Linked DNA regions of Cricetulus griseus. The protein of the gene in region 5 interacts with the protein of the main gene of each other region in a biochemical or structural test. Links are inferred from orthologs where the notes say so. Each region holds a gene or a part of one and is shown on either strand. Other genes may lie near its edges.

The links. The genes of interacting proteins can lie anywhere in the genome.
Region 1: the proteins of Snta1 (region 5) and Frmpd4 interact in a test that uses a peptide from one of them, tested with the Homo sapiens proteins (2 studies listed by IntAct, with this or other methods). The link is inferred for Cricetulus griseus from reciprocal best matches to the Homo sapiens genes SNTA1 and FRMPD4.
Region 2: the proteins of Snta1 (region 5) and Adra1d interact in a test that uses a peptide from one of them, tested with the Homo sapiens proteins (2 studies listed by BioGRID and IntAct). The link is inferred for Cricetulus griseus from reciprocal best matches to the Homo sapiens genes SNTA1 and ADRA1D.
Region 3: the proteins of Snta1 (region 5) and Gda interact in a test that uses a peptide from one of them, tested with the Homo sapiens proteins (2 studies listed by BioGRID and IntAct). The link is inferred for Cricetulus griseus from reciprocal best matches to the Homo sapiens genes SNTA1 and GDA.
Region 4: the proteins of Snta1 (region 5) and beta-1 adrenergic receptor interact in a test that uses a peptide from one of them, tested with the Homo sapiens proteins (2 studies listed by BioGRID and IntAct). The link is inferred for Cricetulus griseus from reciprocal best matches to the Homo sapiens genes SNTA1 and ADRB1.

What each region holds. Positions count from the first base shown.
Region 1 is NC_048604.1:102,458,291-102,462,278, reverse strand, and holds the start of Frmpd4 (FERM and PDZ domain-containing protein 4), read left to right. Parts: upstream 1-1,188; 5' UTR 1,189-1,200; coding exon 1,201-1,238; intron 1,239-3,988. UniProt on the Homo sapiens protein: Positive regulator of dendritic spine morphogenesis and density. Required for the maintenance of excitatory synaptic transmission. Binds phosphatidylinositol 4,5-bisphosphate.
Region 2 is NC_048599.1:47,030,694-47,034,809, reverse strand, and holds the start of Adra1d (alpha-1D adrenergic receptor), read right to left. Parts: upstream 2,801-4,116; 5' UTR 2,712-2,800; coding exon 1,619-2,711; intron 1-1,618. UniProt on the Homo sapiens protein: This alpha-adrenergic receptor mediates its effect through the influx of extracellular calcium.
Region 3 is NC_048596.1:39,790,672-39,794,961, reverse strand, and holds the start of Gda (guanine deaminase), read right to left. Parts: upstream 2,801-4,290; 5' UTR 2,738-2,800; intron 1-2,737. UniProt on the Homo sapiens protein: Catalyzes the hydrolytic deamination of guanine, producing xanthine and ammonia.
Region 4 is NC_048596.1:4,713,453-4,716,830, forward strand, and holds beta-1 adrenergic receptor, read right to left. Parts: upstream 1,902-3,378; coding exon 501-1,901; downstream 1-500. UniProt on the Homo sapiens protein: Beta-adrenergic receptors mediate the catecholamine-induced activation of adenylate cyclase through the action of G proteins. This receptor binds epinephrine and norepinephrine with approximately equal affinity.
Region 5 is NC_048599.1:25,233,058-25,236,557, reverse strand, and holds part of Snta1 (alpha-1-syntrophin), read right to left. Parts: intron 2,103-3,500; coding exon 1,917-2,102; intron 1-1,916. UniProt on the Homo sapiens protein: Adapter protein that binds to and probably organizes the subcellular localization of a variety of membrane proteins. May link various receptors to the actin cytoskeleton and the extracellular matrix via the dystrophin glycoprotein complex.

The DNA of each region.
Region 1 (3,988 bases), on a different chromosome or scaffold from region 5:
AATCATGCCCTGCCTGCACTCACTCTCTAGGCTGTCCTTCATTCATCACACCAGAGAAAGAGCTTCCTTCTTGTTGTAAAGGACTCTCTGGGGGCTGCTGCTGCACTGACTGTGAGGCCCTGCAAACATCATCACCACTCTTTCCCTGCTTACTTTGGTTGGTGATAATCTGGCATTTGGAACCACTGCAGGATCTTAGAGGCTGGCTATAAAAAGAGCTACTTCTCTTTGACATAAGGAGCAACATGACAAGGGATGTGGACTAAGGCTAAAATGGCGTTCCTTGCTTCCCTCCAGTATCATGGGTAAGGAATGAATGAGTGGTGGGCATTCATGGGAGGGCAGGGATGAAGAGTTCAAACCAGCATTTGGTGATCACTTCAGAAAGTGGCTACAGCTTTCCAATTATGGACTGTGACTGTGCAATGCTGCCTGTCACAGTGGCTTGTCACAGGAGTGATGCGCTGTTTCTTTAGCTTTTAGAAGACAGATACATAGAAAACACCTTCCAGTCTTTCACTGTACTGACAGACAAATTGACTTTGGGGCCTTAGAAAGTGGAAAAGATAATGTGTATATATTTGGTACAAGTTAACAGTGAGGGTTTGTCTAATGTTCCATGACTGACTTTGTTTGGCATGTGCTTACTGTGAGTATACATTTTATATTTTGATCATAGGAATCCAGGAAACTTCAGCTTGCTTTTTTCATAAAAGCATAAAACATTAATTGATTCTCATGTGTGTTTCTTTATATGACAATGTGAAATCTACATGCCTAAATATCTGGCATATCTGCTATGCCTTTTGTGCTCAGAAATACAAAGAAGTTTTGATCAAAGCTTCCCAGAGCAAAGTTACTTAATTTTACTAACCCATTGGTTTCCTATCCATATAATGTATAAGTATACTTCCCTCATGTGGATTCTGTGGAAAATGAGTGTTCTATTGCATACAAAATGACTAGCATGCTATCTGATGTAAAGATGTTCTTTACAGTTGGTATATGGTCGGTTATGCCCACAGCTCACAATTTAGAGGAACAAGTCATGAATCCTTGTACTGTGACCTAAAAGGTATGTTTAAGAGTCAGAGGTGATGATATATTCTCTTTGTTTCCAGCCACAGGACCAAGTCTTCGGGCTGGCCGCCTCCCTCAGGAACCTGGGCCTTGAACCAGGTGCCACCCTATGGATGGGAGATGATGACAAACCGAGATGGCCGTGACTACTTCATCAAGTAGGTTAAAAAGACACCAAAGAATTTGTCCCACGCTCTTCTAGTTTTGTTTGATTTTTAAAAAGAGTTTATTTATTCTGTGACAATTGTATAATGTATAAAATTGTTTTTGATCATATTGACCCTCTACTTACCTTTCTTACGCCCCCTCCCTCTGGAAACCTCTCCCTGAGATGACCCCTTCTTACTTTTGTGTCTCTTTATTTTTCTAATAACTCATTGTGTTTAATTAGGGTAGCTTGCATATACATGTATGCTATATTATTGGCTAGATAAGTGGATCACAGGTAATTACTTCCATAGCATGGCAATTTTTGCTCATAGCAGAAGTGTGCACTATGAAATATTGGTCAGTTGCATCCATTGCCTAAAACTAAGGAATCTTGTTATTTCAAACATTTTCATGGAGTGGTCAAGAATGTTACTGAGTTATCAACTAAAATGATTATGTGTTTTCATAATACCTCTTACTACAAATTATTGTTTATATATTGGTTTAGATTATAGATTTTGATGGCAGTCTTATTTTGTTTGTGTTACGTGAATGTACATCCCAGAATTCCTTACCTAAGCCATTTTGGATGTATTATTTAGTAGCATCCATGGTGTTATATACTTATTTAATACTGTCAAATTCCATGACTTTTGTATCACCTTTGTCTTTGTTTGCTTCCTTTTGCTGCACTAAACCACTCTGACAAAAAATCAAGAGTGTATTTAGCTTGCACTTTTAGGTCACAGTATATCACTGAGGCAAGTCAGGGAAAGAACTCAAGCAGGAACCTGGAAATAGGGACTGATGCAGCACCATGGAGGAAAGATGCTTGCTGGATTGTTCCTGGCTGGCTTAGCTTATTTTCTTAAACAACCCAGGATCATCTTCAAGGCATGATACTACCCATAGTGATCTGAGTACTCCCACATCACCATCAGTCAAGAAAATGCCTAGTTAGACTTGACTACAGGCCTTCTCAATTGATACTCTATTCCCTCACATGACTACAATTTGTGTCAAGTTGACAATAGCAAACACCACTACCCTTGAAAAATTTCCTAAGCAGGGCATTGCCACTCTTAGATGTTGTCTGCCTAAAAACAAAGTAAGCCAGTATCACAAGATATAGAAGGTTCAGGAGGAGAGTGAACTGCTTAAGTAATAGCTTCCAAGTACCTTTGCATTCCCACTTTAATTGTATTCATACTACTAAGCAAATCAAAGCTAGAAGTTGGATGTAGCCACTGGTAAATTCATATTATACAGTAATAAGTATTTGTTTCTCCTACTTTTACCTCCCAATAGCATCTGGTCTTTTTTTCTGTCTCTGTTGCTTATTCTAGGAACTCCCATATACATAGAATCATATAATATTTGTTCTCTTGTATTGGGCTGTCTTAATTTTACATAAGGTTTTTAAAAACCTATCCATATTATAAGACATGTTAGAATTAATTCCTTTTAATGCTGGATAATATTCCATTGAATGTATATACGACACTTACTTAATGGTAGTGTTTGTTCTACATGTACAAGTCTCTAGGTTGAAAACACGTATGCACGCGCGCACATACACACACACACACACACACACACACACACACACACACACACACTTTCTTCCTGTTTTCAATTGATTGGGGTTTACATCTAAAGTTTGAAGGGCAGAACATATGAAATTGATGGGTCAAAGTTATATTCTATGCTTCACTCGTTAAGACACCACCAAGAGTGAGAAAAGCATTTAAACTGTGTGTGTGTGTGTGTGTGTGTGTGTGTGTGTGTGTGTGTGTGTGTGTGTGTGTGAATGTGTGTATGTGTTTTCAACAATGAAATTTCAGACTGTCTTTGTTAATTAAGACTGAAATATTCTTAATTACAAGAAATTAGTGAAATAGATTTGGAATCAGGAAGCACAGTTGGCCAGAGTCCAATTATAACTGAGTAGAGATTTGAGAGGAAGGGGAAAATTATTCATTGTTTCGGCCAAGCTGCCTATGCCTTGATTAGCAAATATAAGATCATATGGAGAGTAGAGGTCATTTTTATAAAGGTATCTGCCTACATTGTTTGGGTCTTCTGTACTCCCAACTCAACCCCACACGCAAGTGAGAATTGCTCGGAAGCCAACAGGGTGAAAACTCACTGGATTGTTATGGCTGCTTTTCTAGTCTTTATAACCCAGATCCCTCCTCTTTCCCATAATTGCTGCAGACAGAAGATCTCCCCTCTGGAGTGCACTGCTTACACAGGAACTGCCCCTTGTTTGGGAAGACCTGCTTTGCCCTTAAACATAACCCATGGCAGGGAATATAGAAGTGTCTTCTGCCTTTTGAATGCTGTGCTCACAGATTAAGAAACATGAGTATGGCTTTTGGAACCCAGTCTCAAAACACTCAAAAGACAGGTAGAAAGGCCTCACACCTGTCTCACACCCTGGATTCTAAACTGTTAGCTTTGTGCAGTTTGTCCAAGTCCTTTCTTCTGTTAAGACAATGTATGATATTATAATATGCTACCTGTTTTCCAACATAGCTACAGATGCACTCAGTTGGTTCACTTAAAATAATCCAGATATTTGTAGTAAGAACTGAAAAAAGAGGCAAAGAAATGTATTTTTAAAGGCATTAATTGGGACTTTATTACAGGTTATATTTCAGACTTTTCTGATTAGTGTCTAGTTTTTTCCCTCTGTTTGGCTTTTCTGGAGTTTCACATATATCCCAGACAGTCTTTCAAAAGGTAGTAATTCAAA
Region 2 (4,116 bases), about 22 Mb from region 5:
CTCTCATCTGCTGGGGTGGGGCATCAGTGTAAGACATTCACATTTGCCTGAATCACAGCATGCACAGCAACTCATTGATGCTCACAATTCTTGTCAAGGTCACAAGTGTTACCATCATCACCATCCTCCCTTAAAGATGAAGAAACAGAGGCCTGAGGCTACATAGCTAGTGAGAAGCAGAGTTGGGATTTGAACTCAAGCTGCCTGACACCAGAGCCTGTGTCCTCAATGAAGAACAATATTGCTCCTCATATGCCAGGCACCATTCTGGGTACTATGGATGCAGTGGAGACACAGTTGAAAAGAAAAGCTAGAGAGCCGGTGAGAGAGTGAAACACCAAGGCAAAGGGGGTATTTAAACAGAAACCCACAGGTTGGGAGTTAGCTAAGAGGTTTGGGTGGGCATCCAGACAGAGAAAAGATCAAGTGAGACCAGAGATAGGTATCACAAGGAAGTAACTCACACAGGGTCAGGGCCAGGGCAGAGGGAGGAAGTCCTTCCCTGAATAGCCCCTTTCAGATGGGAATGGCATCTGTTGGGAACTCCTGCAGTTCGTGCCTATGGTCCTACTGTAAATACTAATAGTGACCTGTTTTGGTTTGGACAATAATAAATCTGAAGGCTACCCTCTGTAGGCTGTGGAAGACAGTTTTGTTCCCAAGTAGTATAAAAACACCAAGGGACTTGTAGGGGAGTGACACAACTGAACTATGGTATATAAAAGTCCCCATGGCTGCTGCTGCTGTGTGGGGGAGACTTGCAGGGGCTCAGGAGGGAGGGCCATTATTTCTTCCCTGAGTGAGTCTCACAAATGCAAGCAGCCAGGGGAACAGCTGGAGAGGTCGGTCCTGCTTGAACACATAGAGGTTGCAGCTATGAGCAAAGTGACCAGAGAAAAGAGCCTTAGAAATGCTGCCCCTTTCTCTTCTGTGCTGGTCTAGGCCCTTGGGCCCTGCTCCAGGGCTTCCAGGCTCAAGGGGTGGGAGGAATCCCCTGAGAACAGTCGTGTTTCCCCCAGGATTGCAGGGCTCTTGTAAGGGAACTAGTTCACTCCATAAATGACTATAAACAATAGCAACTCTCCCCTTGACAGTTTTCTCATCCTGTCCTTCCCACCCGAACAGGTTTCTTCCTTTAATCCCTTCAAGAGGAGATTTCAGAAGGGAAAGCCCACAGGGTTCTCACAGATACCAGTGGGGCCACTGAATGAACGCCTATTGGAGAAATCAGAGCCTCTGATGTCTACTGAGATACAAGGTGACTAGCCTGGGTCTGCTGATGAATGAGTGCACGTGGGCTTGCCCACTGTGTATCTATTTCCAGAGATGGGTATATTCGCTATGGGGCACATCCACTGCTGGCCACATATTACAGGGAGATGTTAGCCCAGGTTTCCAAGGAACTAACGCAAGCCCAAGGTTTGTAATGGCTACAAAAGGTAAGAAAAAGAATGATAAACCAGTAACAGGAAACCCAGAAGTACCAAGAGTCCCTTGCTCTCCCTCTTCAACAGTAAGCGACTAGGAAGTTCATAACCATTCACAGTCAGGCTGTGGGTCATCTAAGCCTTCCAGGAAGGGACTTGTCAGAAGGGTCTAATGTGAGGGGATCACTCACCCAGTGGCAGGACGAAGAAGAAGGGGAACCAGCAAAGGACGAAGACACCCACGACGATGGCCAGCGTCTTGGCAGCCTTCTTCTCGCGGGAAAACTTGAGCAACCTTACTGAGAGTGAGCTGCGCAAGGTGTGGCCCTTGCTACTCTGTGCCCCATGGGTTCCTTTGGCGCTAGTGGCTGCACCGCGACAGTGGATCCTCAGCACCACTTCGGAGGCCTTACCAGGCTCCCGCTTGATGCCTGCCTCGAGGCTGCGCGTGGTGCTGCGTGCGACCACATACACGCGGCAGTACATGACCACGATCACTGTCATGGGCAGGTAGAAGGAGCACACAGAAGAGAAGACAGCATAGCCCACTTCCTCAGTGATGCCACAGAAACGCTCATCCGGGGGCACTGGCTCCTTCCAGCCCAGTAGCGGTCCCACGGACACCACCAGGGCCACCGCCCAGAGCAGAGCCAGGATGGCAGCTGCCTTGCGCTCTGTCATAATGGCTGGGTACTTCAGTGAGTGGCGCACACCCACGTACCGGTCCACAGAGATGGTGCAGAGGCTAAGGATGGAGGCAGTGCAGCACAGGACGTCCACAGCGGCCCATACGTCGCAGAAGGTCCGGCCAAAGGCCCAAAAGCCTAGAACCTCCATAGTGGCCGAGAAGGGCAGCACAGCCGCACTCAACAGCAGGTCAGCCACCGCTAGGTTCACGATGAAATAATTGGTGACCGTTTGCAGGTGGCGGTTGCAGGCCACCGAGAGGATGACGAGCAAGTTGCCCGCTACGGCGGTGAGGATGAAGGCCGCTAGGAAGACTCCCACTCCCACGCCCTGTGCACTCACCACCAGCCCCCCGACGGCCGCCGAGCCATTCACCTCGCCTCCGGCCGCAGCCCCCGGTTCTCCCGTGGAGCTCTGGTTGTCCTCGCCGCTGCCGGTTCCCACCACAGCTCCGCCGCCAGTGGTCCCTGGCACGCCGCTCACCGCCGGGCCCTCAGGTCCAGCCGTGCCAGCTCCACCGCCTGCGCCGGAGCCCCCAGTGCTACTGTTGGAGCGGGGTCCTTCAAAAGTGACGCTCAGGAGGTCGCGGAAAGTCATCTCACGGCGCAGCCGTCGGGGCCCGAGCCCCGGCACAGGGCGAGCGAGTGGCGGCGGCACAGGGCGAGCAAGTGGCGGGAGGGGGGGCCCGCGGGCATCGCCGCAGCGCCGGAGCCAGACCCGCGCGCCGGTCCCGTCGGTCCTGCCGGTCCTGCCCAAGTTCCCGCCACGGAGGGGGCCGCAGGGGAGCTGTAGTGCAAGGGGAGAGGAGCGGAGGCCACCGGCCCGTGAAGGTCCCAGCGGGAACGGTGGCGCGAGGCAACGGATCTAGCGGTGGCCGCGGAGTCGCAGGGAGGGAAGGGCCGGGGCGGTCGCCCTGTGCCCTTCTCTAAGCGTGTCCAGGCGAGCGGCGGCTCCGGGAGCGGCAGTGCTGGCGGCGGCCTCTGCAGCGCTTGGGACTCTGAGCGGGGGCGGGACGGAGGAGGGGCGGCCGGCAGGGAGGAGGGGGCGGCCGACGCGAGCGAGGGCTGCGGGCTGGAGAAGCCGCTCTGCGCGACCAGCGGCTGAGGGGGTCCCTGCCGGTGCCCACGACTGCCTTCTACCCTAGCTGCCCCCTTGTCCTCCTTTCCTTGGCTGTCTGCGACCCCAGTCCTCTCTGCCCCAGTTGCGTCTCGCTGCCTCCCTTCCTCTCTCTAGACTCGCGGTCACTGGTCACTCTCTGCTTGCCCTTGCCCTAGCGGAGCATACAAGGTGCGATCCCCGGGGCTCTGGCTCCTGGCTCCTGCCGCCAGAGAGCAGCAAGAGCCTGGGATCTGTGGGTTCAGGGCTGGATGAGCAAACGCTGCTGCTAGACCGTCTGGATGTGTCTAACGCCCCTCCTCTTTTCTCTGGGGCGACTGGCCAGCCCAGGGTCTCTGGTGCGATGGTGGCATTGAGACAGTCCCGAAGGATGCTTGTGCTTGAGCTGAAGTTGGGCGTGACTGGCGTGGAACCAGATGGTGTGGCTATAGCCCCAGGACCCTGCCCACACTCTGAGTAATACCAACTTTGGCCCTGTTATTTTACTCTGCATCAGAGGTAGGAATAAATTTCCCTGTTGCTACTCAAAGAACTCGGACCTCCCTCTGGGCAGAGAAGGTCAAGTGCTGGAGGGTGGGAAAGGTTACCTAGGGTGGTTAAGTGGGAGGGAGCAGAGTAGTCCGCCTCCACTCTCCAGGCCCGGCCCTTATTGGCCTTTGGATCTGGAGCCTCCCTTCCTCACAAGTGAAAGGGGAGTAAAAATCACTTAGGGGAACCTGTGTTAGGGCTGCCCGCACTTCTCAGGTGAGTGGAGAATAGCAGAGCAAGAACTGATCGTGGAGAACAGAGGGCAGAGGTGACATGGCTCTGCTAGGAAGCAGGGACTAGGGAAGGAAAGGGGTCGGGAGGAGGAGCGCACACACGTGCTCCTGCACATGTGTTTTTG
Region 3 (4,290 bases), on a different chromosome or scaffold from region 5:
CCCTCACATCTCCAGGTACCACCTGCATCCTCTTGGGTCATACCCATCAACCAGCATCCTACCTCCAAACCACTGTGTATAAATATCCCATCCCAAGATCTCCAAGCTAATTAGGAGCTCGGCACATTAGTACACGTACACACATGCACACACAGCATTCACTAGGCAAACCCAATGCATTTTTCTCACAGATACCAAAAATGATCTTTGCTGTCTAGTCCTCAATCTTAAATGAAAATATGTCTTGTTGTCACCCTGTTTGACATTTTTCTCTTTTCAACCTGCTTGGGACACAGCTGTGGAGATTAACAGAGGGCACTCCCTCCTAGTTATGGTACAAGGGTCCTTCCTGTCTATGGAGTTGCTGTGGTCACTAGCTCAATAACTTTTGGGACTATTGCAAGCTTTCCATCATGGTCAGTGTACTGGCTAGTTTTATGTCAACATGACACAGGCTAGAGTCATCAGAGAGGAGGGAGCCTCAAGTGAAAAAATGCCACCATAATATCTGGCTATAGGAAGGCCTGTAGGGAATTTTCTTGATTAGTGATTGATGGGGAGAGCCCAGCCCTCTATGGGTGGTACCATCCCTGGGCTGATGGTCCTGGGTGCTGTAAGAAAGCAGGCTAAGTCATGAAGAACAAGCCAGTAAGCAGCATTCCTCCATGGTCTCTGTGTCAGTTCCTGGCTCCAGGTTCCTGCCCTGCTCGAGTTCCTGTCCTGACGTCCTTTGACGATGAACTGTAATGGGGATGCATAAGCTGAATAAACCTTTCCATTCCCAAATTCTTTGGTCATGGTGTTTCATCACAGTAATAGTAACCATAACTAGGACAGTTGGGAAAGCTGGCTGGGAAAACAAAGGTGGTGGCAGAGTTCCATTGTCCTCTTCAATAGTCAACCCCCAGTAACCTAGCGCTCTGCCACTAGATCCAACCTTGGAAAGGTTCCACCAACTCCCAGCAGTGCCACCAGCTGCAGCCAAGCACTGACTATGTGGGTACCTGTCACGCTAATCACAAGGCCATTCCCAAGTCCTCTGGAAGAAAAAGCAAGCATTTTATTCTAGCTCATTTTTACCTGGTGACTCCATCTGAGAAGTCAAGAGACAGCAGAAAAGCTAAATGTGGTCCTGTTTTTTTTCTTCTCAGCAGAACTCCAAAGGCATTGTGCCTGTGGTTTCCACACAGTCTTTAAGTCACATGAGGAAACATATTCCAATGTGATCTATGGATCTTGCTTACGAAGTCAACAGCAACATACAAAGAAATAGCGCTGGCTATCTAGGGAGCACGCCTTCAGAGCAGACAAATTAAGTAAGATCATGACTCCATTTATAAAAGAATCTATTTTTAAAATTTGTATGTGTTTCGAGGTCATGTATATCTGTGCATCACATGCATGTAGTACCCCAGAAGGCCAGAAAGAGGGCACAAGATCCACTGGGACTGGCTTTACAGATGACTGTGAACTGCCTATGTGGGTGCTAGGAATTGAACCCATGTCTTCTGGAAGAGCGGCCAGTACGATTAACCATTGAGCCATCTCTCAAGGCCGCAGAATAGACTTTGCTTTTTTACTGACTGCAGTTTTCCCTACTTCCTGTCCTCCTATCCCCTCCCCTAATTTCTCCTCCACCCCACCTCAATCCATTCCTTCTCTATTTCTGTTCAGAAAGGGGCAGGCCTCCCATGGGTGTCAGCAAAGCATGGCGGATCACGTTGCAGTAAGACTAAGCACTGCCCTTGTATCAAGTTTGGGCAAGGCTACCCAGTAGGAGAAACAGGTTCCAAGAGCCAATCAAAGTATTAGGGAAGCCCCTGCTCCCACTCTTAGGCATCCCACAAGTAGACCAAGCTACACTACTGTCACATATAAGTAGACAGCCTAGGTCAGTCCCATGTAGGCTCCCTGGTTGTTGGTTCAGAGTCTGTGAGATCCTATGTGTTCAGGTTAGTTGTTTCTGTGGGTTTTCTTGGGATGTCCTTGACCCCTCTGGCTTCTACAATCCTTTCTCCCTCTCTTCAACAGGAATCCCAAGCTTAGCCTAATGCTTGGCAGCAAGCGTTCTTATTTGTTGAGCCATCATCTCTCCAGCCCTTTTAACACCCTCTTGAGAGTTACCACATATATGCCAGGGTAAGGTTACACAAAGGCATTTCAACTAGACAGCTAAGGAGGGGACATGGACCAGCACACACAGTCAAACAGAATTACAGATTGTTTTCCAGGTTGTTCTGTGGAGAAGTCACACCTGCGTGTGACAGGGTAACACTTAAATCATCATCACATCTAGAGCCTGCGAGCAGAAATGCCAAGATTGGATGGAAGGATGATAAACATGCTCTTGGAGGGATTCTTACTGTTCCCAGAAAAGCAGCACATCAAGGAATCGGGAATTATTTCAGTTACAACATATGCCCATCAAACTGAGAAAGTTGAAGCAAATGTAGCAGAAGTCATCTTGAAGGTTTATTTTCTGGCTGAGGAAATGAAATTCTCATAAATATTTGAAATTGAGGCTAACGCATGGAGGCACTTCTGTATGCATCAGATTGGCATCACGGGCTGAGTGACATATGAAAGCTCTAAGAAAGGACAGTGGGGTGTCTCTGGGAGATGATGAGTGAGGTGAGCATGGAGAAGGATAACAAAGAGCATTGAATGTCCCACAGCGAACAATGCTGCAGGGAACTGTGAGACAGGCTCCAGGGGAAAAAGGCAGAGGGCCTTTTACCTGAGGTGAATTTTGTTTCCTGGGTTGTTCTTGGATGTGATTTCATGTGTCCTGCAACAAACATATACACTCAATTTAGAACTTACGTTTGTTCTTGTTTGGATATCAGAATATAGCGATAGAATCCAATCTGTTGGAAGGATGTGCTAGGTGCTGTCCTCAGTGTACCCTGGCTCTGGACATGGCCTTCTATCTTGTTTCCATGCTTTTCTAGATCTAACCTTTAGTATGTGCCAGACAATTGTGTTTAAACTTCCTGAAAAAGTTCTGGGAAAGGGCTGCTCTCTTAATATTTAGTATGTCCTTACAGGAATAAATAAATGACATGTTTTTCTGAACTCAAGTAACCTTCCTTGGATCGTAGCCTTCTTTGTTGCATTCACATGTACAAGTACACTGGAACTGAAGGGAGGTTGTTTACTGCATCAGACTGTGGCCCACCCCACTCTTTCAGGTCCTCAGACCGGAGGTCTCTCAGACAGATCTGCACAGGTCTGCAAAAGTTGACAGAGGGTGTGGACCAAAATATGGGAAGTTCAAAGATGTGGGGAAAAGAAATCTAAGTTGGTACAAAACAAGTTTGCCTTGCCTGGCTTGCTCCATTCCATCCCTCCAGCTCTTGTCCTCTTACTCTGCCTAACCACACGCCGCTTCTAAAGCTCCCAATCCTGTCTGGATGGTGAGATAGTTTTCCTTATTCTCATTTCAATCGCCATAAACCTAGCACAAATCCCGCGTTCTTCCTTCTTCCCACGGACTGTTTGGACAGTTGCAGAGGGAGGGGGTGGTAAGAAGGATTGTAGAAGCCTCCATTCATGCAGCCAAAGGCTGTGCTTTCTTTCTTAATATGAGTCATTGATATGTTGTTTTTGCTCAACTGGATTAAGTCATTTTCCATGTACAGTCATCACTTGGGAGGGAGGTGGGAGAGGCTGGGGAGGTTGTTTCAAATGCTTCCCGGAACCAAAGGCTTTTGTTTTGATGAGATGTTTGTTCTCAGTGCTAAGGACTAAACATAGGGCTCGGCGCATGCTCGGCAAGTCCTCTGTCACCAAACCACATCCTCCCAGCCCTGCAATTCTGAATAATGGAAACATCTAATTCTACCATCCTACTTGGTTTTATGTATTTCATTCTTTTTAAAAAATCTCAATTTTATAGGGAAAAAAAAAAACATGCCAGGTTTGACCTTAAGAAGTGAAGCTTCGGTACAGGCATACTGGCATCCTGTTTTTTGTTTTTTTAAAAAAGAGAAAGAGAGAAAGAAAGAAAGAAAGAAAGAAAGAAAGAAAGAAAGAAAGAAAGGAAGGAAGGAAGGAAGGAAGGAAGAAAGAAAGTGACTGTATCTAGCATTCCAGTAGCACAGAGATATTAAATTTTATTTCTAAGATAAAGTAATATGAGTTTTTTACGTTTTACGATGAAGAGTGTTTCACCTGAATGTATTTGCTTGCCCCATATGTGTGCAGTACATGGGTGGGGGAGCAGAAGATGATGGCCAATCCACAGGAACTGGAGTTCCAGGTGGTTGTTCACTATCAGCCTCCATGTGG
Region 4 (3,378 bases), on a different chromosome or scaffold from region 5:
CTCCCACCAGCACCCCAAACTGGAGCTGACTACTTAGGTTCCTAGATGTGGAACCGGAAGCCAGGTGGTAGACTTCATTCCCCCTTTACCCTCCCCACCTAGTTTCCACTCCGGTCCTTGCAGAAAATGTCAAAACCCATCTGGAAAACAAAACAAAACAAAAAACAAAAGCTAAAGGTGTATCACGAGAACACACAAAAGGCCGAACCCCAGAGAGAAAGGAACCCAAGACAAATCAGAAAGCCACACTCTCCCAACTCCTCCCAAACTTCCCTTTTTGCGCTGCGGACGGTCCGGGGCTTTGCTGTACGTCTGGGATGATTCAGATTCATCTGTGAGTTCACCTGCTTTCGGTCTTGAGTAAACAGAGGTCTCCTCCCTCCTCTGCGGAGCGGCTCAGGGGCGCCCGGCAAGCTCTCTTCCTCTAGGGACGCGGAGCCTGTGTCCAGGCCGGGACCGTGGGGCCGGCGTCCGTGCGCCCGCCGGGAGAGCCTGGCTCTCTACACCTTGGATTCCGAGGAGAAGTCCCGGCGCCCCGGCTCGTCCAGGCTCGAATCGCTGTCCACAGTCGTCACCCCGCCGTTGCAGCCAGCCCAGGGCTCCAGCAGGCGCGCGGGTGCCGTGATCCCCGCATCGTCTTCGTCGTCGTCCGAGGGAGCTCCAGGGGACGGCGGCGGCCCAGCTCCCGCCAGGCAGCCCGAGGCGCGCGGCCGGTCCCCGTGGGATGCGCGGCGTCTGCGGACGGCCCGGCGCGCGCAGCAGAGCAGGCGCTGGAAGGCCTTGCGGAAGTCGGGGCTGCGGCAGTAGATGATGGGGTTGAAGGCCGAGTTGGCGTAGCCCAGCCAGTTAAAGAAGACGAAGAGGCGATCGGGCACCAGGTCGCGGTGGAAGGCCTTCACCACGTTGGCCAGGAAGAAGGGCAGCCAGCAGAGCGTGAACACACCCATGATGATGCCCAGCGTCTTGAGCGCCTTCTGCTCGCGCAGGGCCACGAGGCGCGACGGCCGCCGCTTGCTGGAGCGCCCGTTGGCCAGCGAGTCTGCGGGGCGCGGCGGCCCTGGCGACGGCGAGGGCGCGGGTGAGGGCGGCCGAGCGGGGCCGCCGAGGAAGCGGCGCTCGCAACTGTCGATCTTCTTCACCTGCTTCTGGGCCTCGCGGAACACCCGCAGGTACACGAAGGCCATGATGCACAGGGGCACGTAGAAGGAGACGACGGACGAGGCGATGGCGTAGGCCCGGTTGGTGACGAAATCGCAGCACTTGGGGTCGTTGTAGCAGCGGCGTGCCTCGTCGCTCTCGGCCCGCCACCAGTGCATGAGGATGGGCAGGAAGGACACCAGAGCCGAGATGGCCCACACCGTGCACACGAGGGCCCGCGCTCGCGCGCGCGTCAGCAGGCTCTGGTAGCGGAAGGGCGACGTGATGGCGAGGTAGCGGTCCAGGGCGATGACACACAGGGTCTCGATGCTGGCCGTCACACACAGCACGTCCACCGAAGTCCAGAGCTCGCAGAAGAAGGAGCCGTACTCCCAGCGGCCCCACACCACGATGGTGGCCCCGAAAGGCACCACCAGCAGCCCCATGACCAGGTCGGCGCTGGCCAGGGACATGATGAAGAGGTTGGTGAGCGTCTGCAGCCGCGGGGTCTTGGCGATGGCCACGATCACCAGCACGTTGCCCGCCACGATGAGCAGCACGATGAGCGCCAGCAGGAGGCCCATGCCCGCAGTCCACGGCTGCGACAGCGGCGCTGAGCCCTCGCTGGTGGGAGGCAGCAGCGAGGCGGGCGGCGACGCGAGCACCAGCAGGCGCGCCGCGGTGGCCGCGCCGTCGGGCAGCGGCGCGGCCGACGACAGGTTGCAGGGTTCGGAGGCGCCCAGGGCGAGCGCCCCCGCGCCCATGCCGAGCTGCGGAGGCCGGGGGCGGGGGGTGTGGCGGGGCTGGGCCGCGGCTGGGGAACACCCCAGGAGCCGGGGCTGCGGGGCCCGCGCGGGAGGTCGCGGCCAGGTCAGGGCAGCCGCGGCTCGGGGCCGGAGGCATGGACTCCGAGCGCCTTCTCCGCCGGAGCCGAGCGCTGTCGCCGCCGCCGCCGCCGCCGCTGCTGCTGGAGCCGCTGCCGCTGCTGGAAGAGCCGCCGGGACCTCAGCATGTTTCTGAGCGCGCGGGGCCGACAGCTCCGGCCCCACACCCCACCCCGCTGCCACCCCCCTAGCCAGCCCCGGGGCCGCGCGTCAAGCTCCCGCAGCCAATCGCCGCCAAGGCACGCCCCCGACAACGGTGCCCCCACCCCCCAACACCCGGCACCCCCTCCTACCCGCGATTGAGCCGCTCCAAAGATTCCGGGCGGACTGCGGAGCCAGCATCTCCCCGGCACCCACCGGCTGCAGCGAGCGCGCCCTTTCCGGCTCCGGCAGGCTTCTACCGGAGTCGGGTCTGCTGCGTCCCCGCCCCCTCCAGGGGGTCCCCGCTCGCCCCAGCACCAGCTCTCTTTTTCCCTCGGCGCGGCGCGGCTCCCGCCCTAGCTCTCCTCCTTCCCACCGGCGCCCCGCAGCTCCCGCGCCGCTCTGCCTCCTCTGCCGAGTTCCCTGCAGCGAGGAGGGAATCTTGTTGGCGTTCTCAAGACGCCCAGTGCCTTGAACAGCCTGTCTGCTGGGGTTGGAGGAGTTTAGCTGTGAGACTGGTTCTGCCATCAGGCAGCCTGGCCCTTCCCTGCTCGAGAGGGGACCCGGCCAGCCTGACAGCTTGGGGGGAATGGGAAGTGGGTGTTCGTGGTTAGAGGAAAGTTTCCAGCCAGGCCGGTTGCTGGAGCAGAGCGCGCATCTGTCAGAAAGGCTCTCTGGCTGTTCTCGCTCAGAGCTGTGCTGTCACTCAAGCCCAGTCAATGGAGAAAGGAAGTGAAGGTTTCTGGGTGTTAACAGTCAACGCCAGGGACCAGTTGGACACACACACACACACACACACACACACACACACACACACACACACACACACGCACGCACGCGCGCGCACACGCGCACACGCGCACACGCGCACACGCGCACACGCGCACACGCGCACACGCGCACACGCGCACACGCACACACGCACACATACACACACACACCTCCCAACCCCAGCCAAGGAGAATGACGCCACGGTGTGTGCCGAGTATGAAGGAGAAGTTTGCAACATGCAGTCTAGAGTAGATGACACCACCGCCGCCACCCCGCGTAGAAAGGACACACCGAATGACGCTTCAGAGTTTTTGGCTCTGATTTTAACACCTTGACACCTGCATTTGTGCTCTGTCGCGCCCATTGGGTTTTATAATCCGAGCTGAGTCAACACAAGGAGCTATTCCTTTTGGTTGACGTCATGAACTAGGATTGCAGATTTCTT
Region 5 (3,500 bases):
CTGTGTTGTTAAATATGATTGATAGGAGCTGGGGGATATATCTCACTGGAGGAATGCTGCCTGGAAGACCAGAGGCCCTGGGAATATGACTTTTTTTTTCTTTTTATTAGGTCTATTCATTTTTAATGTGTATTTTGACTGTATGTAGCTATGTGTGCCACTTGCATGCCTGGTGCCCCCAGAGGTCAGAAGAGGGTGTTGAATCCCCTGGAACTAGAGTTTCTGGAGTTTCAGGTGGTTGTAAACCATTATGTGGGTGCTTGGAATCAAACTCAATCCTCCAGAAGAGGAGTAACTGCTGAACCATCTCTCCATTCCAATTTCTTATTCTTATTCTTTTTTGAGACAGGATCTCATTTTGTAGTTCTAGCTTACCTGGACCTCCCTATATAGACCAGACTGGCCTTGAACTCACAAAGGTCTTCCTGCCTCTGCATCCTGAGTGCTGCTGTGATTAAAGTAGACCTGACCTTGATTATATTACTCATGTAACTGCTTGATATACTTTTTTTTTTAAAAAGAGATTTATTTATTTGTTATGTATAAAGTGTTATGCCTGCAGCATATATTCCTGCAGATCAGAAGAGGGCACCAGATCTCATTATAGATGTTTGTGATCCACCATGTGGTTACTGGGAATTGAACTCAAGACCTCTGGAAGAGCAGCAAGTGCTCTTAACCTCAGAGCCATCTCCCCAGCCCTGCTTGATATACTTTTAACCTTTTAAGGATTAACATTCTAGACTGAGAAACAAAACACTATGCACAATGAAATAAAATGTATCAATACCAGTTGTAGATGAGCCTAAAATATGAAGAAAAATAAAACTGCATGGGAGTTGAGGTCTTGAACCACAAACATGGCAAAGGTGAGGGTCTAGGGCAATAATAGCTCAATGGTTAAGAGTGGGTTAAAGGAGGACCAGGGTACTATACACATACGTAGTGCACAGACATGCAGGCAAGGTACTATACACAAACATACAGGCCAGCAAACACCCATTCACATGAGATAAAAATAAGTCTTTGAAAGTGTCAAAGGTCACCCAAGGTCCCAAAGCCTCTCTACTTCTGTGGCGTCTTGGAGACCCCTGTGGGGAAACTTGGCAGGATTTGAGTCTGGGACTGAGCTCAGCAGCTTTGCTAGCCATGGCACTGTGTATCAGCCCCCACCATCTCTCAGTTCCCATTCTGGGCAAGAAGCCAAAAATACATTCTTCAGGCCCCCACAGGCGTTTGGAGCTGACAGAGTGGAGCTTGAGGAAAGGGCTGAGCAAAGCAGAAACCTCCTGAGAGTGTCAAAAGGCAGATAACAAATAACCACATCACGGGGCTTATGCAACAATGGAGAAACTGAGACCCAGAAAAAGTGAGTGTCTCCAAGACCACACATGAACAGGTTGTGGAGAGAGCCACCCAATTAAGGTTCTCCTCAAAGCACTTCTCTGGTCCTCACTGGATGTGACGAGTCACTACATATCTCAGGATTTGAGGGCCACAGATGATAAAAGAACCTGAAGTTAAATGCTCCATCAGCCCTTTAGCAAAGAATCTAGTTGTCCTTTCCCAGTCCCCATTCTTCCCTTTCCCTTAGCTTCCCAATAGGTGACAAATCCTAGTCACAACCCAGAGAGCCCGGAGTTATGTCCCCATTTTAAGATGAAATCAAGGTTCTTGGAAATGAAGTGATTTGTCCAAGACCACACTACTAGTGAATGAGAGACAAGAAATACAAACCAGTGCTACTTAGCTCTGTGCTTCTCCCCCCAGGGTGACCCCAGGTAGGTGCTGATTCTATTTTCATGCCCACATCCCATCCCTCAAGACCAGGCTGGAGCCACTTGGTGCCTGGGGTAAGCAGGAAAGAAATTACAACAGCCCTTCCCAGCCCTCCGGCTCTGTTCCCTGGTACTTACCCTCCAGCACCACCTCCTTGCCTGTCTTCTTGAGGGCCTGTACGGCTTCATCATGGGTGGCAGAGGACAAATCTTCACCATTCACAGACAGGATGGCATCCCCAACAAAGAGTGCCTCCGTCTGGTCTGCTGCCAGTCCCTTGAAGATCTTGGAAATGAGAATAGGCATCTTGTTTTCCCGGCCCCCTGCACAGGCACAGAAGGAAGGGGAAACTGAGGCGTGTGCTTCAAAATGGGAAACTTACCAAGGTGAAATTGATTCTGACTCAGTGCTGGGAAAGGGAAAATGAGCAAATAGTGAGAAATAAAGGGAGGAAACTTAGGAGTTTGACCACAGCCAGACTTGGTGACATGCAGCCACAATTCCAACATTTAGGAGGCTGAGGCAGGAATGGAGTGCCTTGAGTGCAGAGTCACTCAGAGATATAGCAAGACAGACAAATAATATATTTTCTAAATCCATAATGCTATATTTTGGTTCCTAGATCTTTTGTTTAAATGTTTTGTTTGTTCACCACTTCACTGATTTTTTAAATGTTTTGGATTTTAAGCAATTTTCTACAGTATGAAAATTTACTGATAACCCCCATCTAGAGTCAAGGGAAAAGTAGTGGTTGCTATGGCCTGAAGGGACCTCTTCTACAATCAGCAAGTTTTAGAATCCAGAGCTGGGTGTGGTACACAAAGCCTGCTATCCCAGCACTTGGGAAGTTAATGTGGGGAAGGGGGTGGGGAAGGCCAGAAGTTCAGATCAACCTCAGCTATGAAGGGAGTTTGAGGCCGGCCTGGGATGTATACAAGGCCATCTCAAAAATAAATAGTTAAATGGGCTTTACTAACCAGGATTCACACTGGAAAGGAAGGCCTTAAGTTCTAGAAATTTCAAAAGTATATCTGAATTTCATCTCTGATCTAAGAAAATAATACATTTCACTGAACTACTTTATTGTTAAAATCTCAAATGTCATTTTAAATAATTCAACATGTATTTATTTTGTGTCTTATGCGTGTATACAAATACACATGTCCTATATAGTACAATGTGGGAGTCAGAGGACAACTTGCAGGACTTGGTTCTCTCCAGGACCATTTGGGTCCTGGAGATCAATCTGGTCTGCAGTCTTGAGAGAAGACATCTTTACCCTCTGAGCCAGTGGTTCTCAACCACTGGATCACAACCCCTTTGAGGGTCAAACGACTCTTTCACAGGGGTGGAATCAGATAGTCTTTATATCACATCTTTACATTATGGTTCATAACAGTAGCAAAATTACAGTTATCTTTTGGGGGGGTTCAAGACAGGGTTTCTTTGTAGCTTTGGAGCCTGTCCTGGAACTCACTCTGTAGACCAGGCTGGTCTCTAACTCACAGAGATTGCTTGCCTCTGCCTCCCAAATGCTAGGATTAAAGGTGTGAGCCACCACCACCACCAGGCCAAAATGACAGTTATGAAATAGCAACAAAAATAATTTTAAGGTTGGGGGTCATCACAACATGAAGAATTATGTTAAAAGGTCAAAGCATTAGGAAGGTTGAAAACCACTGCTTCTGAGTCATCTCATCAGCCTCAAATGTCTTTTGCTT